3 linked regions of the Lytechinus pictus genome follow. The protein of the gene in region 1 purifies or fractionates together with the protein of each later gene. This does not show direct contact. Links are inferred from orthologs where the notes say so. Each region holds a gene or a part of one and is shown on either strand. Other genes may lie near its edges.

Evidence for each region. Proteins that work in one complex are often made in the same cells at the same time.
Region 2: the proteins of (E3-independent) E2 ubiquitin-conjugating enzyme-like (region 1) and ATP-dependent DNA helicase Q4-like purify together in Homo sapiens (affinity purification with mass spectrometry; 3 studies listed by BioGRID, with this or other methods). This does not show direct contact. The link is inferred for Lytechinus pictus from reciprocal best matches to the Homo sapiens genes UBE2O and RECQL4.
Region 3: the proteins of (E3-independent) E2 ubiquitin-conjugating enzyme-like (region 1) and large ribosomal subunit protein uL14 purify together in Homo sapiens (affinity purification with mass spectrometry; 3 studies listed by BioGRID and IntAct, with this or other methods). This does not show direct contact. The link is inferred for Lytechinus pictus from reciprocal best matches to the Homo sapiens genes UBE2O and RPL23.

The regions. Positions count from the first base shown.
Region 1 is NC_087254.1:31,378,082-31,386,701, reverse strand, and holds the start of (E3-independent) E2 ubiquitin-conjugating enzyme-like, read left to right. Parts: upstream 1-5,235; coding exon 5,236-5,259; intron 5,260-8,620. UniProt on the Homo sapiens protein: E2/E3 hybrid ubiquitin-protein ligase that displays both E2 and E3 ligase activities and mediates monoubiquitination of target proteins. Negatively regulates TRAF6-mediated NF-kappa-B activation independently of its E2 activity.
Region 2 is NC_087246.1:52,525,422-52,533,581, forward strand, and holds the start of ATP-dependent DNA helicase Q4-like, read left to right. Parts: upstream 1-4,588; 5' UTR 4,589-4,777; intron 4,778-8,160. UniProt on the Homo sapiens protein: An ATP-dependent DNA helicase which unwinds dsDNA with a 3'-overhang in a 3'-5' direction. Does not unwind more than 18 bp of dsDNA. May modulate chromosome segregation. The N-terminal domain (residues 1-54) binds DNA Y-shaped DNA better than ss- or dsDNA.
Region 3 is NC_087247.1:17,383,517-17,391,336, reverse strand, and holds the start of large ribosomal subunit protein uL14, read left to right. Parts: upstream 1-4,248; 5' UTR 4,249-4,276; coding exon 4,277-4,289; intron 4,290-7,820.

The sequences.
Region 1 (8,620 bases):
AAACATCTTCAAATGTACACATTTTTTCAAACATAATTTTCTTTAACCCAAATAAATCATTGTGCATTTTTTAATCAATAATGTCTGATAATGTCTGAAAAATGCGACCTCATTGACTTTTGTACAAGTTTTTTCAATGTTCATTAGTGTTGTTGGTGTTGCTGCTGCTGTTGTCATCGTGATTGCTGGAATTGCTGTTTGTTTTTGCTGCTCTTGGTGTTGTGGGTGTGGTTGTTGCATCTCCTGGTGCAATTAGTTATTTTTGCTACTGATGTTGCTCAAGGTGGTGCCTGTGTGGTTGCTGTTGTCATCGCTGCTACTGCTGCTGTTTACGAGTGTGGCTGTTGCATCTCCTGAGGCATCTATTGATGTTGTCGCTTGTGTTGTTGCTTGTATGATTGCTTGTTAGAATCCTTGCTGTTTGCTTTGTTTCTACTGTCGTTGTTGCTACTGCTGTTGATGTTTACCACTGTGGTTGTTGCATCTCTTGATGAAGTTATTTATGTTGCGCCCGATGTTCCCTGCATGATTGTTGGAGCTCCTGCTGCTGTTGATGTTGTCGGTGTGGTTGTTGCATCTCTTACTGCAGTTGTAGTTTCAGCTGCTGATGCTGTTGTTGCTCCTGCTGCTGTCCATGTTCATGGAAGTAACTGAAATGGATTTAATTTATAGAGCATGTGATATTTTATTAATAAAGATATCAATTTCCATCATTATTGATATCAGTCATTTATTCTTAATTTAATTATCATTGTTAAAACATTTTTTTATTTCTAATGTTTGAAATAAGAACTTTAAGTTCTAAATGGTTAAAATATTGTCACCAAAGCCTTATTAAACAATGAAAACAAAAAAGTTAATAACAAAGAAATGCATAAGAAAATGATTAAAATTTCCTCTTTTTTTATACACAATTGATTTTGATGACTTGGGTTTTTCTCATTGGTTTACCAAAGAAAGGGAGTCAAAATCCAAAATTATCACATTTGGTCTTTATTTCTTGAGCCAAATGCTGATTTCATGCAAGAGTCATGTTATCATATTAAATTAAAAAAAAAAAAACATCAGGAACAGCAGCATGATTTCTGAAGCGAGTGCACAATCAACAGGCAAGATCCTGAGGCACCCCCCCCCCTACCAAGATCATTTGAATTAATGAGGTTTCATGACTGCTTTTGTAGGCATTACATTTATACAGGCCTACAAGAGATATAATTTTTTTTTTTTTTTTTTTTTTTTTTGGGGGGGGGGGTAATCTTCCAGTGTTACTCCCATACAAAGCAGATGGTGATGGGGCGGGGGGGGGGTCTAATAGGAATGCAGAACAATGGAACATTCATTTACTACTTTGGCAATAGAAAGCAAGTCACACCATCTAGCATTGATTGATATTGGTTGTTTTACAACTGTCCAATAAATATCACCATTAATCAATTAAGCATCTAAGCACTTATAGATGTCATTGTTTTCAAATATTTGAGTAGAACAAATAAAGAAGAGAGCAGTACCAGTAATTTAATATTTTTTTTAATGTGACTTTACTTTCTTCGCCAAAGTGAGGCAGTCATAATTAAGAGTGTTTTAACTTACAAGTGACATCACATTTCCTGCCTTCTTGTCTGGCTCTCCTAAACCTTCAACCATTTATACTTGTGTAACTTTGTATCTCATGTCTGTCTGAAAAGTTTGGTTGAAGCCTCCACCTGAAGGAAAAATAGTATTGAAATAACTAATTAAAATATTTGCCATAATCTGGTATTTCTTCTCACATGTATATGTACATGTCTAAAAACAGGAAATAAAACATCTTTTGATTACCAGGTTTCATATAGAAGGGGGTAAATAAAGGGTTCAAGTTTTTATTATGTTAATAAAAAATACAAACAATAGTAAAAATGACATATGCTCTGGCTGAGAAACTTAAAAAGTGAAATTATTCCTCACAATGTAGCTTGTATGTACATACACATGAGCAAGTAGTGCTAAATGGATTGAGGGGTGAGAGCAGGGGCTCCGGAAACCGGCGGGGGGGGGGGGGGTGCATGTTAGCTGCAGGGTCAGCGGAACGGTTTTTACAGTGAACGGGCTGACCATGCAAAAAATCGTAACCAGATGGTCATTTCATATTTTTCAGCCCCCGCACTGTTTTCCAAAACCATGTACAAAAATGTAAAATTGACCATCTGCTTATGATTTTTTGCATTGGTCAGCCCCCCCCCCCCCCCCCCACTTTCGGCTCAGCCCCCTCACTTTCAAAACCGTTCTGCTGACCCTGCAGCTAACATGCAAAATATATTGAATCTATTATGTCTTTCATGCTTATGTAATGTTTGCATTTCAAACTGACTTTAAATAGAAAATCCGGTCACAGTCCGATTTCATTGTCATTGATGTGGGTTTTTATGATTTTACATTCTGCAACCAAAACAATATCCTTCATTATTTTTTAATCATTATCGCATTTTACTAGTCTACATGTTACCTGTGGTTGCATTTCAATCTCGGTATTTCTTCACCCATTGCCAAATCTTCTGTCACATGTTCATCAAATTGGCCGCTGGCACATTCCTTGCTGTAGTAGACCAGTCAGAGCCTTGCTTTCTAGTTCCAGATCCGTCTTCTTCTGCATACTGTTCAAATGTCCATAGTCTGAAATTAAAATATTAATAATATCACATTGTTATACATGTAGCAAAGAAAATATGTAGATTTACAGTGATCATTGAAAAATACTGCACTTTCAATGAATATTGTTGACATTTCATAAAGGGGAATGATCGAATATACCAATCATTTTTCTTCTTTTATTATCCTGAAATTTATAGAATTTACCAACAATCGGTCAACAATTTATCCTTGTTAATTCATATAATTTTCACTTGATTATAAACAAGACGGTAATTAACACATTAACCATACAAAATAGTAAAACAGCTTTTTCAATAATTTTTTTTTTAAATTAAAAAATAAAAATAAAAGTTTTTTTCAAACTCAATAGCGCTTGGATACCTTGCCGGTTAAAAGCCACAATCAAATTAATAAAAAATATGAATAGGCTCCTAATTCATAACTGCAGCAAATTGCATCCCCATCAAACCATCAAACTGTCAACTATTTCTGGACTGTGACCTTTGTTCAATGGAACTTTAATATGAGATTCAAGGCAGAAAAATACTTGGGATTGATGAGATCCATTCCATATTCTCCTATATTTTTTTCTAATGAAGAGACCTTTAACCTTTACATGCTATTTAAGGTTAGGTATGACTAGACTCTAACTTTATGTGGTACGACAGTATTTTTCAAAAAATAGATTAAGAGACATTATCAACAATAATTTAATTTATTTACCCCAATAACACCGATGCTATTGCAGATTCATGCTAAATAGTAATTTGTCTAAAAAATTGACTTAGAAAAATAAAAGCCAAACAAACTTCATAATCGCACACAAATGAAGAGCATTATTTCGTCTCCCCCAAATTGGACGATCAATATTTTTTTTTAAAGGGAGCTATGAAATGGCTCATTTCACTTGGGTGCGCAAAGTCAAAGATAATTTAAGATAGATCTAGGCCTATAAGCTATACCAGTACGGCCACGGGCCGGTTGCACTATTTAAAACTTAGATCTAATAATTTTTTTATATCTAGATTTTAATTTTTATTGGGTGTGAACGCACCTCTGCCACAATCGCATCACCCCCCCCCCCCCGCCCGAATCCTCGACAGCTGTCGAGAGCCTTCACTTCATTCGACTTGTGACTTGCTAAGGCTAAGCCTACATTAATAGTTGAGAACATCCACTTTACAAATTTACCACTCACACTATTACCATGTGATTTAGCTCCTGTTCAATTCCAATTTCTGTAACACAGAATTAGGATGGCCCCATTGGATATGTGTACATTTACAATTGCACACGCTGGTTTGCCTGGTGATCAAGCCAATCTCCGACTACACCGAGCAACAAAATTATTACAAAACCAAAGGAAATGAAAAAATATGATTTGCAACATAGAATGACATAAAGGTAGAACAATATAAAGAATTCTCTTTGCAAAATTTATAACATTGCAGCCATGTGCGGATCATAAAAACGTGACAGCCGTGAGCCGTGTCGTTAGTTTGGACCTGAGATAGTTCTACAGACACAGAAACACGGGTATGGGACTAGACTGGATTTTGTACTGTCAAGTTCACCGATCGTATCGACAGGGGTCCTGCCAGAAGATCCTCTTTTCTTGTAATTCATTTGATAATCACGCACAACGAATAATTCAATCACCTTACATACAATATGAACGACATTTTGAAGGGTTTTACTTACGGTAAAATCCTCATTCACCTCTACGAGGACCTTCGCTTCTTCTCATTTCTTCGTTTCATTTCGAATCGTCGTGGCGAAAACATCAATCAATTTTACATCTTTTTCACGACTTTGGGAGTGGGCGTGGCCTAATTAGTCAGCGAACCTCGTTCAAGACGATTTGTAAAATAAAAATTCTCTGACAATAGTCAGAGGAGCTCCGAGAGTTTGATGAAACGAATTTTTGTCAGCGCTGACTAAATTGTCAGCGCTGACAATTTTAGTCAGCGCTGACAGTTGTCGGACGAAAATATTGATGAAACACCCCCCTGGTCACTATAAATGAGGGGACTGATGACATAAGGGCAATTCCATGGAAAATGTTCACTTTAGAGAAAAAATGAAGTTTCAGATTTCACTTAAGCAGTTAAATTTTCTTAAAAAGTAATCTATAAAGTTTCAATTTCCAATAGAAAAATTGCAATATTGATAAAATTTTGTATTTTTTTCCATCATAAAAAAAATTGAATAGTAAATTGCAAAATCTAAAAAACGTGGCTATTTTTAAACAATTCATCTTTTCTGTCTCTACTAAAAGCAAATAAGGTCCCAGAGGTCTCTTTTAACTTCTGAATAGTTGATTAATGTTTACATCAATACAAAATCATCATTAAATTTTATGCCATTCATCAATTTTAAAGAAATCGATCTTCAGATTTGTGTGATTTCTTTATCATTTTCAGTGTCATGTCCGTTACGTTTTTCACTTAAAGTTTTCACAGCTTACAGGAAATTTGTCTGAAGGTACTGCAGATTCAGATTCTATGTTAGAATTAATCCCCCTACCATGTGTAGCAATCATTTTCCCTTACCACTTCTCATTTTCATAAAAATGGCGTAACGGACATGACAAATCGTGTAACGGACATGACGCCTTATATACGACAAAAGGTAGCATTCACAAAAACAAAATATTAGGCTCAGTGTCACAGACTGAGGTCAGTCTCAATTGCTTGAGGATAGCTGGATGTAATAACTCCTAAAATCTGCATGTCATTCAAGCTATTTTTCGAAGTTGGTGAATGATGAAAGTTCAGCTCTTGTTCTGGTATATTTTTCTGAGAATTAACAATATGCCACATAATATTAGGATAAGATGCAGCTAGATCTGGCAACATACTCAGATCACAATCTGTATCATTTGTGTTTGAACAATACGATTGATTATCTTAGGTGTTTGCACTGACAGTTTGGAGCATGATAAAATTCCAACTTGTGAATTCATGAGATCATTGATGATATTGCTTCAAAGTATCTGACTTTCACCAACCTCAACTTCTTCAGTGATGGCACGGGCTCACATTTAAAAACAAGTTTGTATTCAGATATCTGTGTTACATGATGTAGCTCTATGAATCCATGAATCTACAGTGGCACTTCTTTGCAATATCACAAAGCAAAGGGGCTATGGAAGGAATGTGGCGCTATCAATAAATTATGTCATCATAGTATTTTGGTCAGCCATAATCACGATTTGAATGATGTATCTTCATTTGTACACAAGCAGCACGGACAATGCAACATAATTAGATACAGCCACATTTGTCAGCAAGCAAGATAGTAAGATTTAGAACATCCAAGAATTGATGAAAGGATGATTATACTCAGGATGATATTTATTTTGAATGAAAAAAAATCTCAGAAGCGATTTACAAACATTCCGATTACCTTTCAACTCATACATAATCGATAATGAAAGACTGGTTTCCAGGTACTGCTATTAAATTTTAAAATACTTTTTAATATCATTTTTTTATCTTAAAACTGACATTAATACTAGTTCATATTATTCTTTATCATAAAATATATTTCATATGTTCATCTTGGATTTATACAGGTCTGGTACATTTTGTTTTCTTCTCACAAAAAATGAGATTTGGTCTTCTCAGTGTGCCGTAGGCCGTAGCGGTACTATTAAGCATTGTATTCTATATAAAATTATCATGTAGGCTTTAGCTATTAAATTAATAATACCTGCCAATAATATCTACATATTTTTCTTTAGAATGTTAGTAAAGGTACTTTGCTGTTACATAATTACATTCATTCATTCATATTTCTTTCATTTTGAAACTAAGAAGTGCTGATGAAGTTCACTTCGTAAGGGTGTCATGTCCGTTACGCTAAGTACATTGTCAAATAGTAAGCCATGACTAAAAGATAATCTTTACTATCAACTTTTTCTCTTTTAGTTTGGTGTTGCAGATGGTAGTAACTGGAAAATACTCATTAACTGTTGTTAATTGGTGAAAAATAAATTTTTCTAAATATTTGTTTGTTTTATAAATATTGTACGAAAAGCCCCTCTCTCAAATTGCAAAATAATAGGAGATATTACAGATTACCAGTTATGATGTGTGTCTCTAACCTCTAGCCTTAACATGTAAACAATTAGACTTGTACCATATCTTGTAATAAAATAATTATATTTGCTTACAAAAAGTGGACGAAACTGTCATGTCCGTTACGCTTCGTGTGTCATGTCCGTTACGCTTCGTGTGTCATGTCCGTTACGCTACATTTTGAGCTATGAATACAGAATGCACTGCAAAACTGTTGTTAAACACTATTTTATGGATAGAGCATGATCTTAAGGTTAAATCAACACCAACATCAGGTGCATGCAATCTAAGAATTCACAGGAATTTTGATAAGCAATAGGAGGTAAAAATGCTTCGTCCATTTCGTGTCATGTCCGTTACGCTCACAAAGAGTGCAATTTCTCAGCAACTGTTCAACGAAACGATTTGAAATTTCATGTGTATGTAACTGATACTTAAATGTGTCTGATAAGCTCAGTAACAATTATCAAAAGACTGCTAATTCTACTGTATTTACCTTTGAATTATAAAAATTTGTCTGAACGTCATGTCCGTTGCGCTGGAATTGACCATAACCCACTCACTATTTCTTTTGTATCATATTATATGAAATATTTGAATTTTCTCCTCATTGTCATGTGAGCAAAGTTTCGTTCCTCCCTTAACATGTGGAATTTGATTGTTTTTACATTTTGTGGTTCGAACAAGATGGTCATAATTGTCATATCCGTAAAAAAATGAAATATTGTATAATTCAAACAATAAAAACAAAAGAAATAGCCAGTGAGTGACATCATCAACTCTCTCATTTGCATATCGCTGAGTTGAGCATAGAATGAGTAAAATAAAAATACAAAAATAGAGAGAGAGAGAGAGATGGAGAAAGAGAGAATTCAGATCAATTAGTAATAAATTTATAAAAAAAAATTACCCCTCTCCAAGAAAGAAATTAAAAAGCTATAATTCACAACTATAAGCTAAGTGATTTTGGATTATTAAGGCTCCGTTTTGACAAGCAAACGTTTTAAAATGTCATAACTTTTTTGTTTTTCATCCGATTTTGATGAAATTTTCAATGTTGTGCCAGTCTGATTTTTCTCTATTTATTCAAATCAATATTTTACTGGGGTGGACTTGACCTTTAAGTACCTTGTTACCTAGGCCATCTGGCCTGGGAGATTTGTGTGTTTGTAAGCCTGAAAATATTCTTCTTACGTCATGCTCAGAAATTTGGATAGGTGTTTGATCAGGCATCTCGTTCACCTTACTTTTGATTCCTTCATTTTCACTACCAAAATTTTCAACATCAAAACGACATTAAAAATTATTTAGATCATCAACAAAACCAATATCTTGTTCTGTTGGCACAGATTTTGATTTATCTTTGTTGTATCGAGTAATATCCTGCATTGTTTTCCATGCCTTTCTGGGGTTATTATCTCAAGAGTTCCGTTCAATCTTTTCTTTGTAGGAACTTTTACATTTTTCCGTCTGCTGCTTGATTTTTCATTGGGTTTCTCTCAGTAACTCCGTATTTCCTGTCGAAAGCGCTGCACCCTTCTCCCTGAGTAAATCGCAAAGTTCTTTATTAACCCACGGCTTGTTGTTAGGATACACCTTAACTCGTCTGTTTGGCGTTGTTATTTTGAAGCAGAACTTGACATAGTCGGTTTCACAGTCCAGTTTTAACACCACTTTGAGTTTATGTACAGGCACACTCCTCCCCTCATCTTCCCGGATTCTCTCGTTCTGTCCCCTCTGACCAATTTAAAATAAGGAATATGAAGTGCACTATCTGGTATTGAGTCATTTAGCCAAGTTTCACTGAATCCCATGAAACATGCTTCTCTATATTCATGCATGTATCTTGTGAGAGTTTCCAGTTCATCTATCTTGTTAGAAAGGGAACGCACATTGCCGATAATCATACT
Region 2 (8,160 bases), on another chromosome or scaffold:
GATAACAAACAATACAATTATATACAATTAAAAACAATCAATGGTGATAATACATATACAATCATCAGTCCATATGATATTGTTAAAATACAGACGTATAAAGTGATAACAGTATTATATAAAGTAATATATCAAAAAAGAGATTATAGTTTATAGCATCAGTCCTGAAAGGGGAATGGTATTGCATCCCAGTTGATCGGCCTAGGCAAGATTGAGGAAATGTCTTTTAACAGAGAGTTTGAAATTATTGAGGGTTTTAACATTTTTAACACTTTGTGGGAGACTATTCCATAGAACGCAGCCATCATAATATAAAGCATAATATAAAGCAGTTGTAATCTTAAAACTTAGACCCCAGCATCTTCCAAACTATAAAACCCTTGTGATAACGCATACTTAATTTGACCAGACCAGTTTATAAAAAAAAAAAAAAAACAGAACAAAAAAATGTAACCCTCTTCCAGCCTAACATCCTGTAATAAATGATGTTATTAAACATTCATTTTTTTCTTCCAGGCAAAGAAATTAATCATAAAAAACAACATCAAAACTTAGAGCCCGGGGAGCATTTCATGAAAGGAGTTGTCTGACGTTTTATCCGACACTGGTAGCACTGCTTCTTAGCCAATCAACATCAAGAGCAATTGTCAAATCTGACAACTTGTCGGATATAAATGTTGATGAAATGCTCCCCCAATCATCTTATTCATGTTGAACAGGCACAAGAACATGATTGAGTCTTAGTTATGAGGATTTCATTTATCTTATTTTTGAAATGACATGGTCTGGAATAAAGAAAACTCTCTAAACTTTTATTTATTGAAGGTTCTTAGTTTGAAGGATAGTTGGGCCTTAGATTATGTTATTCTTTTTTCATGATTTTGGTTATTTTGAAATAATTGGGTCTGGAGGAAAGACTACATCATATTTCCATGTTATTCAATGTTGATAAGATTGCAGGGTCTTTTTTGTTGTTGTTGTGTTTTAAATGACTTTTATAACTCGGTCTGGAGGAAAGACTACGCTATATTTCCATGTTTTTCATCATAAAGAGGATCGTGGGTCTTTGTTTGCTTTTTTTAATTAATACTAATTTATTATTATTATTATTCATTTCTTATTTGAATGATCTGGGTCTGGAGGAAAGACTACGCTATATTTCCATGTTATTCAACCTAAATAGGATCGTGAGTCCTTGTTTGCTTTTTTTTAATTATTACTAATTTATTATTATTATTATTCATTTGTTATTTGAAAGATTTGGGTCTGGATGAAAGATTATGCTATATTTCCATGTTATTTAATATTTACAAGAGAGTTCGGGTCTTTGTTACTTTTCCACCAGTTTTAATTAACTGGGTCTGGAGAAAAGACTAAGCTCGATTCTCATTTTATTCCACTAGAATATCATTATCGTATCTTAGTTTGGACTTATAATAATTTTGAAACAACCGGGTCTGGAAAAAAGACTTTGGACTTGCATTATAATTTTTTAATTATCCGGGTCTGAAAAAAAGACTTTGGACGTATATTATAATTTTTTAAACAACCGGGTCTGGAAAAAAGACTTTGGACTTGCATTATAATTTCTTAATTTTCCGGGTCTGAAAAAAAGACTTTGGACGTATATTATAATTTTTTAAACAACCGGGTCTGGAAAAAAGACTTTGGACTTGCATTATAATTTTTTAATTATCCGGTTCTGAAAAAAAGACTTTGGACGTATATTATAATTTTTTAAACAACCAGGTCTGGAAAAAAGATTTGGACTTGCATTATAATTTTTTAATTAACCGGGTCTGGAAAAAAGACTTTGAACGTATATTATATTTTTTTAATTAACTGGGTCTGGAAAAAAGACTTTGGACGTATATTATAATTTTTTAATTAACTGGGTCTGGAAAAAAGACTTTGGACTTCTGTTATAATGGTTGAAACGACCGGGTCTGAAAAAAAAGACTTTGGACGTATATTATATTTTTTTAATTTACCGGGTCTGGAAAAAAGACTTTGGACGTATATTATATTTTTTTAATTTACCGGGTCTGGAAAAAAGACTTTGGACGTATATTATATTTTTTTAATTAACTGGGTCTGGAAAAAAGACTTTGGACGTATATTATAATTTTTGAATTAACTGGGTCTGGAAAAAAGACTTTGGACGTATATTATATTTCTTTAAACAACTGGGTCTGGAAAAAAGACTTTGGACGTATATTATATTTCTTTAAACAACTGGGTCTGGAAAAAAGACTTTGGACTTCTATTATAATTTTGAAACAACCGGGTCTGGAAAAAGACTTTGGAATTGTACTATAATGTTTTATTAACCGGGTCTGGAAAAAAGACTTTGCACTTTTGTGCTATATGAACGCATTACTATAGGATTTTAGTTTAGAACAGGTTCGTCAAAAATCCCTTCAAATTTATTACATTTGTGGGTAAAGTCATTATTACATTTGTGGGCGATCAAAAATTATTACATTTGTGGGTAAAGTGCATTATTACATTTGTGGGTGAAATTATTACATTTGTGGGTAAAGTGTTATTACATTTGTGGGCGTTATTACATTTGTGGGTAAAGTGTTATTACATTTGTGGGCGTTATTACATTTGTGGGCGATTATTACATTTGTGGGTGTAACACCCCCCCCCCCACTTTTTTCCAAAACCGTGTACAAAAACTTAAAGATGACCATATGATTGTGATTTTTAGCATGGTCAGCCCCCCCACTTTGAAAACCGTTCCGCGGCCCCTGATTTTAATTATCACAGTTTCCTTTATATGGGGGCAAGGGAACCGAAAGGCAGAGGGGGCACTTGCCCCCTTAAAATTTCCCATAGCAAAAACGCCTTTTTTAATGTGAAATGCAAGCCTGCGTAGGGAAAATTTTGGGGGTACTTCAGCACCCCAGCTTCCCAGGGCCATGGTTCTGCTTGTTAGATTTTTTGTTTTCTTTACCCTTTACCAAAATGGAATAAAGAATGAAGGTCATGGAAACTTGTTTCCCACTTTTATGAAACTCCGGGTTGAAACTTATAGGGAATTGATTGAGTAAGCAACTTGCGGGTACGGGAGGCATAGGCCTATACTGTGCAGCCGGGAGAACGGGAGATTATCCCATAAGTTGGCAACAAAAATAAAAACGGTTTAGAAAGGCAAATACAAGTTGGAAAAGGGGGAAAGAGGCAAATACTAGGGGGATGACAGTATTTAGCCCCCCCCCCCCCCCATACAACCGCGTAGCCAGGAAGCGCGCTCCCTAGGGTGCAGGGTAATCTCATCGTAAATCAAAAGAAGGCGTCTTTTGCGTCTCTAGTACCCTTTTCAACTCGAATTCAATTGAATTGCTGTGATAAAAAAATTGTTTTCAAAAGAAATTATGAGCTTGAAGATTTGAGATAAGATTGGAGGATTTGAAAGAATTCCTCTTACCGCGCGAAGCGCGGAAGCTAAAACGTTTTATAAAAATTGAGAACAGAAGTTATAAAAACGCCTACCTTGGTCACATCAGATTTGATTTAAATCAAGTTAACTCAAGTCGCAAAACAGAGTAAGAGACGGGTATATGCAGGAAAGAAATAGGCCCTATTTCTTCCCGCGAATGGTGTTGAAGCTCTGAATTTTAGAAATTTATCTGAAAGCTTAACCTGTTATAATTTTGACATTTCTTAGACTGTAACTCGATTAACAAGGAAAATGAGCTCAAAATGTGAAAGGGATGGTGCAAGCTAGAAGAGGGACTTAATTGTCCTTTCCCATGCTCGCCAAGTGCGGAAACCTTTGTGATTTATTTTGGAAGAAAAAAAAAGTGTATAATTTCGCTCATATTAAGCGCTTCCTTTTGTTTGATTTATAAGATACTTCAGTGATATTAAAAATTTTAAATCAATGGCACAAAACAAGACAGGAGATGGATGTGCAGCGATAAACAATAAAGTCTCATATATACTTTTGCATATTATAACACGGAACGAATTTAATGCCTCCTCCTTTGAGCAGATATACTTGCCAAAATTACTTGCTGACAAAGCGGAAAAAAATTCATTTGGGGAGTCGGGAAATGACGGTAATGTTTACCCGCTCCGAACAGGAGAGCCGACAATTTGTGTCAATTGCAATTTTAAAAATATATATTTTTCACTCTTTACACCCATGTATAATTTATAACCTCTGGCAAGAATATACGATTCCCACAACCGGGAAGGGGAAAAACGAAGTAGAAAAGGGTGTGGGGAAACAAAAGGGAAAGGCGATTTAGATGTTTTTCACGCGCGGAGCGCGGAAGCAACATTTTTTATGAAGAGAGAAGATCAACGTTTCGTTAACTTTAGGTTTTTATTCTTTTGACAAAAAAAAGAAGGAAAAACAACACAGCATACCTTTTCTTCCCTTTCATAGTCTACTTTCGCTTTTTATTTTTCTCCTTTTCCTCTTTTTTGTTGTTGTTGTTGTTTTTTTTTTTTTGGGGGGGGGGCGACCGCCCCCATCGCCCCCTGGCTACGCGCCTGCCCCCATACCCTGCCCTGCCCTATATCCTGCTCTCCTCCCTTCATATCAGCAAATACTGTACTTTTTTCTTTTCTCAGAGACACTGTACCGGTACCCGTGCAATTGTTTTGATCTCTAGCTAGCTCTTTGTTCAGTTCACGTCCCGCGCGAAAATTGAGTGCTAATGACAGAGTTATTAGGAGTCCCACCCATTAAGGCCAGGCATAGATAGAGTTATAATATTATATAAACCTAAACACTCTATGGTCCCACCCAGCTTGACAGGTAAGAACTAAATCAATCATTTATGGAAATTGAATTTGCGCTTTTAACATGTTTCATGGTGGCACACATCCCTATCGCCACCAAATTTGAGAGTATTTCATGATTTAAAAAAAATCCCGGCTAGCGGCCAGGCTTCGGCTTCGCTTCGCGCAAGTGCCTAGTCCGTGCCCGGCCCGTGGTATGGTGCTTGGCCGCATCTTTCCCGATCGAGATTCAGCGTCCCTCTGCTAGCCGGCAATTATACCCAGAGAGCTCCGTCCCGCGAAACTCGAAGCGGGCCGGAGCCTAACTTAGAAAATAGAAGGTAACCAAGGGCCTCCATGACAAGATGAGCGATACGTAGAAAAGTTCTAGGACCATTCTTCCGAGATAGGAAGATTGGCGACAAATCAGCGCTTTCCATTTCACAAACTAAGGCAATTTCAATTTGTCTTCCAAGACAATCCTTGACATCGTTTGGTATCGATAGTAATTAGTATCGCCTATCGGAAAAATAATTTAGTCTTCATCGTCACCTGAACCTTTTATTTCGGAATGACGGCTTTTCATAATAATAGATTCTATACTCAGTAGAGGCGCACGGCCAATATGGGAGACTCCAATAGCCATAGGGGAGACGATCTCCCACATTGGAGACTTGCTTTGCAAAAGGACAAAAGAAACAACAACAAAAGCATGATTTTTTCCACCCAAAATTTTGTCTCACTGAGGTCAGAAGCCCATTTGTTTTGTGTGTGATTGACAACAAAAATCCTTATCAAAACAAAAGTAGACGGTGAAAAGGGGTAATTTTTCATGAGGAATCTGCTTATCACATTTTTATTTGCCGCCAAGGTAATCCTTTTGCAGCAAATGCAAACAAAGGAAATTGGTCTCCAAAACTGGAGACTGTCTCTGAAATTGGATACCCAAATTCTTTACAAAAGTCTCTGATATTGGAGATAATCTCCCACATTGGAGACAGTCTCCAATATTGGCCGTGCGCCTCTACTGATATTAAATACAGTAATTTTAATAGTTAAAAAAGAGATTTATTCTGCAAGGCAGGAAGCTGTTTTGCCACCTGTTGGAACCCTTATAAAACATTGTAGAAAATATAGGGAAGAGGAATATAAGATTGCACAAGAGAGGAATACCTTGGCAATACATCTGGGCAATTCCATGGAAAATGTTCACTTTAGAGAAAAAATGAAGTTTCAGATTTCACTTAAGCAGTCAAATTTTCTTAAAAAGTAATCCATAAAGTCTCAATTTCCAATAGAAAAATCGCAATATTGATAAAATTTTGTAGTTTTTTTCCATCATCAAAAAAATAGAATAGTAAATTGCAAAATTTAAAAAACAAGGTCCCAGAGGTCTCTTTTAACTTTTAAATAGTTGAATAATGTTTAAATGAACAGAAAATCATCGTTAAATTTTATGCCATTCATCAATTTTAGAGAAATCTGTCTTCAGATTTGTGTGATTTCTTTACCATTATCAGTGTCATGTCCGTTACGTTTTTCACTTAAAGTTTTCACAGCTTACAGGAAAATTGTCTAAAGGTACTGCAGATTCAGATTCTATGTTAGAATTAAACCCCCTACCATGAGTAGCAATCATTTTCCCTTACCGCTTCTCATTTTCATAAAAATGGCGTAACGGACATGACAATTCGCGTAACGGACATGACGCCTTATATATGACAAAAGGCAGCATTCACAAAAAAAAATATTAGGCTCAGTGTTACAGACTGAGGTCAGTCTCAATTGCTTGAGGATAGCTGGATGTAATAACTCCTAGAATCAGCAGTTACTCAACCTATTTTTAGAAGTTGGTGAATGATGAAAGTTCAGCTCTTGTTCTGGTAGATTTTTCTGAGAATTAACGGTATGCCACATAATAAGGATAAGATGCAGCTAGATCTGGCAACATACTCAGATCACAATCTGCATCATTTGTGTTTGAACAATATAATTGATTATCTTCTGTTTGCACCGACAGTTTGGAGCATGATAAATCTCCAACTTGTGAAGTCATGAGATCATTGATGATATTGCTTCAAAGTATCTGACTTTCACCAACCTCTACTTCTTCAGTGATGGCACGGGCTCACATTTAAACACTAGTTTGTAGTCAGATATCTGTGTTACATGATGTACATTGTAGCTCTATGAATACATGAATCTACAGTGGCACTTCTTTGCAATATCACAAAGCAAAGGGGCTGTGGAACGAATGTGGCGCGATCAAATTATTATGTCATCATAGTATTTTGGTCAGCCATAATCACGATTTGAATGATGTATCTTCATTTGTACACAAGCAGCGCGGACAATGCAACAATATAAGATAAAGCCACATTTGTCAGCAAGCAAGATCGTAAGATTTAGAACATCCAAGATTTGATGAAAGGATGATTATACTCAGTCAGGATGATATTTATTTTGAATGAAAAAAAATCTCAGAAGCGATTTACAAACATTCCGATTACCTTTCAACTCATACATAATCGATAATGAAAGACTGGTTTCCAGGTAATGCTATTAAATTTTAAAATACTTTTTAATATCATTTTTTTTAATCTTAAAACTGACATTAATAGTAGTACATATTCTTTATCATAAAATACATTTCATAATATGTTCATCTTGGATTTATACAGGTCTGGTACATTTTGTTTTCTTCTCACAAAAAATGAGATTTGGTCTTAGTGTGCCGTAGTGGTATGATAAACATTGTATTCTATATAAAATTATCATGTAGGCTATAGCTATTAAATTAATGATACCTGCCAATAATATCTACATATTTTTCTTAAGAATGTTAGTAAAGGTACTTTGCTGTTACATAATTACATTCATTATTCATATTTCTTTCATTTTGAAACTAAGAAGAGCTGATGAAGTTCACTCCGTAAGGGTGTCATGTCCGTTACGCTAGTGTATATTATCAAATAGTAAGCCATGAATAAATAATAATCTTTACTATCAACTTTTTCTCCTTTAATTAGGTGTGGCGGATGGTAGTAACTGGAAAATACTCATTAACTGTTGTTAACTGGTGTAAAAGAAATTTTTCTAAATATTTTTTTGTTTTATAAATATTGTACAAAAAGCCCCCCTCTCAAATTGCAAAATAATAGGAGATATTACAGATTATCAGTTATGATGTGTGTCTCTAACCTCTAGCCTTAACATGTAAACAATTAGACTTGTACCATATCTTGTAATAAAATAATCATATTCGCTTACAAAAAGTGGACGAAACTGTCATGTCCGTTACGCTTCGAGTGTCATGTCCGTTACGCTACATTTTGAGCTATGAATATAGAATGCACTGCAAAATTGTTGTTAAACACCATTTTATGGATAGAGCATGATCTTAAGATTAAATTTACACCA
Region 3 (7,820 bases), on another chromosome or scaffold:
TCCAAATTGAAACCAATTGCCAATTGTCATATTTCAATTTGGATATTCAATGGGTATTCAATTGGAAATTTGTCCTGGGTAGTCAATTGGTATTCAATTTGGATATTCAATGCATAGGCGAATCCAGGGGGGCCCAAGGGGCCAGGCCCCCCCCCCCCCTATTGGCGGAGAAAAAAAAGGAACGAAAGAAAAAAGGAAAAGAGAGGAGAAAAATAAGAGGAAGACGATTGAATTAAAAAATATATCAAAATGAGGGGAAGACTTTGAAAATAAAAAGAATCTTTCATATCACGATAAAAAATTTGCTCGCGCATCGCGCTCGCATTGCCTGTTAGGCGATTTTCACAACTAGTTCAATATGGAGCTTAAATATCAAGTTTGGAAGTTATACAAAACATATTTCACCTCGGAAATCGAACTTTCATTATTTTGTGTGATTTAAAAATTGATTTTTTTTTATAAAGTGCTCTGTAAAATGTAAGTTTTATGGTGAGAATTTTAACATCAAAAATTAAAGTAATAATAATAAAAATATCAGCTCTTCATTAAGTGCGATCCATATCCACCTCACAATTTTCCTACAAAGTGCTTGAAATATAGAGCTGAAATTGACCCTTTTTAGATCGAAATATCACTGAATATTTTAAGCTCGCGCTTCGCGATCGCCAAATTTCATGATAAAAGATTATTTAGAATGCCTAGATTCTATAGGATTAAATCTCAAACACGCGCGCGCACCTGCTCGCTTTTTGTGCTCGCATTATTATATGTAGGAAGATCCCCTATTACTCATCCTTTTCATGATTTACAAAACATGAATAGAGTGTCCCGTTTTTAGGTCTAGATCTCGAATTTTCCGCATCAATTGTCTAGTTATATAGCTATCCTGTTCACGATTGAAAATATTGATTAAAATGTTCCATTCTAAATGTCAAAAAAACATTATATTGTTTAAATATTTACGTCTCCATGGCTAAGTGCAAGCAGTCCTTAACAGGTAGCAGGCGCGGATCCAGGAGGGGGCCGAGCCGCCCCCCCCCCCTATTTTTTGACAACCTGCCGAAAAAGTGTACTCTGTAACTAAATAGAAACTACAAAAAATAGAAAGAAAAGTAGGAAAGAAGTATTATACCCATGAAGTGTAATTTACAGCCTCGTAACGGCCGGCCCGACCCCGAAAGAAAACAAGAAAAAGGTGAGGGGAAGAATTGGAAAATAGACTTTATATAAAAAATTTCGCTCGCGCTTCGCGCTCGCATTGCCTGTGTTATGAATCCCATTCAAGAGGATTAAATGACACTTAATATTTGCAGCTCTGAAATCAATTTGCACACAATATTTTAGCTCACACATCAAGCTTTCATTATTTTGTTTGATTTACACAAATTGTTATATCAAAATGTTCAGCTAGCGCTGCGCGCTTGCATTGTTTGATTTGTGAGATACCTATCCTCTTTGGAAATTCTTTCCAAAATTTGTCAAAATGCTCCTTTATCATGCATGTGAGTATATCAAAAAATTAAGCTCGTGCTTCGCGCTCGTATTTAATTGTTTGAGACACACAGCTTATTCTTTATTCAAATAAAAACGCGCTTAGACTGTCAAGTTTTCAGGTCGGAATATCCAAAATTTTGAGCTCGCGCTTCGCACTCTCATTATTTAATTGGTGATACTTGTATCCTCTTCATTAATCGCTAAAAACAGTCCTAATTGAGTCCCTTTTCACGTTACTATAATAAAATTTCGACTCGCGCTTCGCGCTCGCATTGTTTATTTGCATACTTATCTTTGTTCATGATGATAAAAAATGCTCAGAATCTTCAGTTCCAAGGACATAAAATATCAAAGAATTTTAGCTCGCATGCACATCGCGCTCGCATTATATAAAGACCACATGAGATACCTTATCTTGTTTATAACAATAAAAACTAACATATACTTAAGACTTTAGTCTATTGTTAGGACTACCCCCTGAAAAACCAACAAAAAAATCAGATTATAGCGGCCAATCGGGACAAATGTTGATGAAAATATTTCGGCCCCCCCCCCTATTGGCGAAAGCTGGATCCGCCCCTGGGTAGGGCCTACCTTTTAGATCAGTTCAAAAATTTTCTGCTCGTGCTTTACGCTCGCATTATTAATGTAAGGAAGATCCCCATTACTCATCCTTTTTATGATTTACAAAACATGAATAGAGTGTCTCGTTTTTTAGGTCTAAATCTCGAAATTTCCGCTCGCGCGAATTGTTAAGTTATATACCTATTCTGTTTCAGTTACAAAAAGTGCTTAGAATTTCCATTCTTTAGGTAAAACGGTCAAAAATTTCAGCTCGCGCCTGGCGCTAGCATTATTTGATTGTTGAAATATGTAACGTCTTCATGGCTAACTGTAAGCATTAGGTAGGCCTACATTTTCGATCAGTTTAAAACGTGGATCAAAAATTTCTGCTCGCGCTTCGCGTTTGTAGTAATTATTTAGTTGCATACACATCTTTTTCAATATATCAAGCATTGACTAGAATGTTCAAATTTTAGGAAAAAATACATACAATTTATAAAAAAAATTGCTCGCGCTTCGCGCTCGCATTATATGAATATAAAGGATGATGTCACAGTGGCGTAACTACGGGGGGGGCATGGGGGGGCACGTGCCCCCCCAATCGGCTGACCCAAAAAAAAAAAAAAAAAAAAAAACGGGGAAAAGGAGAAAAAGAGGGAGAAAGGAAGAGAAACGAAGTGGGAAAGAAGACATTATTGTTCATTATAATGTTATATTATAATTATGTTATGTTATATTACATAAGAAACATTTTTTTTTCATAACTTTATGAAACATAATTTGCTCAGGGCCTATGTCCTCATTGTTCCTGGTGCTCGCATCGTCTGTTTACCGAGATATATAATCCTGTTATACTAAAACCTCCCGTTTTCAAGTCAATATACACCAAACTGCCAAATATATTTCCTCGCACTTCGAGTTATTGTTTTATGTACAATAGTATGCTTCTTTTTCATGACTACTTAAAGTGATTGCCCCATTTTAAGGTCTTGATATAAAACATTTCCTGTCCGTGCTTACGTTCGCAGTAGTGGATTGGTGAAATATGTCTGCTTTCCATGGATTCCTAGAATCAGTCCTTAAATGTCCCTCTTTCTAATCTGAATATCAAAAATTTTCAGCTCGCGCTTCGCGCTCGCGTCATTTGGTTAGTGAACTACGTATGGTCTTCGTGAATTTCTACAAACAAGCCTTAAAATGCCCCTCTTCAGGTCTGAATTTCCTAAATTTTCAGCTCGCGCTTCGCGCTCGCAAGATTTGATTAGTGAAATGGGTATGTTAATCATGATTACAAGTGCTTTATGTGCATGTTTAGATGTAATTCTAACAAAATCAGCAAGCGCTTATTGGCACTCGCATTAGATGACTATGGTGAGATGTGTATACTCTTAATGCATTCCTAAAATATAGTCCTTAAAATCTTCCTGTTTTGGGGTCAATATTTACAAAAATTTCAGCTCGCGCTTCGCGCTCGCATTATTTAGCGAGACAGGTACATATCATGATTACAAAAGATTTATTATAATGTCCCCTTTTAGGTCTAAATATCAAAAATTTTAAGCTCGCGCTTCGCGCTCGCATTATTTGACCAGTGAGAAACATATCCGTTTAATGGCACTGTCCTTAAAATGTCTCTGTTAGGTATACCTGGCAGCTGGGCGCGCTTCGCGCGCTCACTTAGTGACTCAAAACTTTTGCTGGTGCCCCCCCAATGCCGTGACCCACGGTACGCCACTGGATGATGATATTATATATTCATGTTGATTTATATGAATAAAGCTAAGAAGTAACTATTAGGACTACCCCTTCAAAGAAACAAACAAAAATCATGTTCGAGCGGCCGATCGGGGAAAATTTGGCTGAAAAAAATTCCGCCCCCCCCCCCTATTGGCGAAGGCTGGATCCGCCCCTGCAATTTGTCCTTAGCTCTTAGCTTGAATTGTCCCGCCAAAACAGTCCTTAAAATGTCTCTTTTTCCGGTCAGCAGGCCTATATCAAATTTATACTTTCATTAGTATTTGCGCTTCTTGTTCGCATCATCTATTTAGGAATATACCCAATTCTTTTTCATGAATACAACAAGTGAAAAAGAGTGTTTTTTATTTATTTTTTTCTTTTAGTGGATGAGTGGTTCCTCTCGATATCCCCTTCTCGATTTTATCTTATAAAGCCCTCTATTGGCGACTTTATGCTAATTAACAATCTCTTTCCTTCCAAAATGTCGAAGCGAGGTATGCGATAATAAAATTATTAACGCACAAATCTGTCTAAATCCATGCAATCATGAAAGAATGTATTAAAAATGATATCATATGAGAATAAGCGATGTATTTTTTTACTCTGTAGTGAAGGCATTTCAAATATATTTGGTGTAATATTGAGTTCCTGCATGAAAAAATACGACTATTGATGTATCTCGGCCCGAGCACTTCGTCCGTGTGAAACGGACATGATTGATATATATGCGAGTCGGTGGTGACTAGTCGATAGAATGTCTAAAAATTAAAAACCATCCATTTGTTTGGGTCACAGTAGTAATATCCGCCTTAAGATGAAGATCTAACTTGTTGGTTTTTTATGTTTTGTATTGTAGACAGGAGTCTAGTGAAAAAAAGTTTAAATTTTCATTCGTGCTAGGCTTACTTACACTACACAGTTACACTACAGTCTTAGGACAGTGGCTGCGGGGGCTTTTCCCCGCTAGCTGGCTGTGTATGTCTGCTGGAGAGCGGCGGCATGCGCATGCCACTCATTCAATGAACAAGGACTAACCTTGTTCTCAGTTACATCTCCATTTGTTGCAAAATAAGGGTAGCAATGTTTGGCTTATTTTCTCTTTTACTTTGGGACAAATGCTTGATTTTTTTACACTGTCTGTTACTCTGTTTCCATTACAGCTATAGGGTCTACATCATATTATAACTTGACTCTTAAGTAAATTTGATTCTTTATTTTTAAATTTTTTTTTTAAAATTAAAAATAGAGATTGAAAAATGAAAATTTTCTTACCATATTACTTTCCACCAATAGAGGGCGTACACAAAAATATGCAAAAAATTTAAGTTTTTGAGCGCTCTGGTGAATAGAAAAATTATTCCCTGGTTACTAATGAAAAATAAATTGCAAATGTATGGAAATTAGTAATTTTGGTCACAAAAGTGACATTTTAATGATTTTTTAAAGTGTGTGCTGTATACAGCATTGGCATACCGTCCATAGTCCCTACCTGTAGATTCCCCACAGGCGGGATGGTTGCAGTGAACAAGTGCGGCATGCCATGGTCTTGGTTCAGGAGACTCTGCTCAGTGCTCAGCTGCCAGGCACAGAGAAAGAAGAGACTCCCTTCATATAAGAAATCCCTCTTTGTTCAAGAGGGATTTCTTATGAAGGGAGTTGCGTCCCCATGTCTGCGCACCTGGATAAAAATAACTTATATATATGATTCAAGTTTTCAACCAGTTGAGGCGCATGGCCAATATGGGAGACAATCTCCAATATTGGAGACTTGCTTTGCAAACAAACAAAAGAAATATAAACACCAACAAAAGTGGAATTTTGTCCACCCAAAATTTTGTCTCACTGAGGTCAGAAGCCCATTTGTTTTGTGTGTGGATGACAACAAAAATCCTTATCAAAACAAAAGTAGACAGTGAATTTTCAGAGTAGATTTTTATTTGCCGCCAAGCTAATCCTTTTACAGCAAATGTAAACAAAGGAAATTAGTCTCCCAAACTGGAGACTCTGAAATTGGATACCCTAATTCTTTACGAAAGTCTCTGATATTGGAGATAATCTCTCTCATGGGAGACAGTCTCCCATATTGGCCGTGCGCCTCTACTGTCAACATGAATTTCTGGTGCTAATAATGCAGTTTCACTCGGCTCCGGCCTAGCCCTACCTACAGTACAGTAGGCTCGAGGCGCTGGTCAGAAAATTCGGATTGTCCCAGTTTACAGGGACTGTCTCAGTTTTTAAAGATTTCTCTACACAAGAAATCTAGGAAAGTTCATTCACCTGTCAAGTGCCAACACCAATCAAGTGTGCTAGTCAATGTAAACATATCAGGTTTCATATCAAGATTATTGGAAGACGGTAATTCATGAAAATAGACGGTGAACTGGGGGGAATTAAAGGAGAATGAAACTCTTGGAGCAAGTCAGCTTTTGTGAAAGCAGAAAAATCAAAGAATAAGATCAACAAAAGTTTGAGTAAAATAGGACTAGCAATAGAAGAGTTATGAGCATTTGAATGTCGAGATCACTAATGCTATGGGGATCCTCCCATTGGCAATGCGACCAAGATCGATGATGTCACAGATGAACAACTCTCCCCTTTTGGACACTGAAAATATACCCCAAAACATATCTTTTTGCTCATTCTAATCATATGACGAACGATTTATCAATGATATAATGTTGTGAAACCTCTGTACTTGTGAAACCTCTGTACTCTCTCATAAAGAGAACACCTCACCTTGTGATAGACTGTAAAAGTGAGAATATAAGTGAAATAAGTACTAAAGTAATGAGGGAGTTGTACGTGTGTGACATCACAGATCTTGGTCGCATTGCCAATAGGAGGATCTACATGGCATTAGTGATCTCAATATTCAAATGCTCATAACTTTCTTATTGTTCATTCAATCTTCCTCAAACTTTCAACAATATGTTTCTTTGATTTTTCTCTTTGATATGGATTCAGCTGGTTTCAAGGGTTTCATTCTCCTTTAAGGTCTTTGAATCAATTTTTACTTTTAGCACTCTCAAATCCCGTAATTGATGTCTTTGTCCCGTAGGGAGAAGTGAAAAAAAAAGTCCCCATAAACAAGGACAGTCTCGATTTATCAAGACATGATTTGTCTTGGTTTAGGAATATGAGGATATTCTTGTTTTCTGGGACAATCCCAATTTTTGGACCAGCGCCTCTACTGACCTAGGCTAGCTTCAACAAGCAAATTTCCCCACCTAACGGTAGACTCTATTTTTATTGTGTTTGCTTACTTCAGTCCATATGTTAATCTCAAAATTATGGCAAAGCGAAGCGCATTGTCTGACTGAGAATTCAAACGACGTCAAGTTCAAAAAGCCGCAAATCAAAATACAGCCGATCGCGATATTTGGAAAAGCAGTTGGCACATTGACCTTGTTGATGAAATGTGACTGAGAAGTGAGAAACTTGCCATGACATTTGCGAACAATTTTTGGTGGGGAAATTTGCTCGAAGTCGGCTGGTGTGAAACTGCATTCGCGCCGAATTTCTTTCTATTCCACAAATATTTTCAATCCAAATGTGTCCCAATTTTCTAAAATAAATTTGAGAGAAATAGGTCTACCAACATGACCAAGTCTTGTTTCATGGAAAAACCTTGACCAGTCATTTTCAGATTTAAACTAAATGGTGACCCTGCCATGTCTGTGCACCCATGATTCACTATTCTAATTCACATGGCAGAAAGTATTGTGGGGATTTTGATTAGAAACTTAGAAGGGCTGCTCAAGTCATGGGGAAGGGCGCCCAACAGCGCTGTGTGAGTAAACCTTCACACATCGCCATGGAGCTGTGTATAGATCTACAGTGCGTCCCAAAAAAAACTATACACTTTTGAAATGGCTGCCAAATAAAAAATGTAGCACTTTGGGGGAAAAGACTTATAGATATGGAAAGCCAATAAAGTCAACTTTCAAATGACACCAAAAAGTTGGAAAACTATTCATGCTTGAGCGAGCACTGCCCACTGAAACAAAGGGTATGAAAATTAGGGT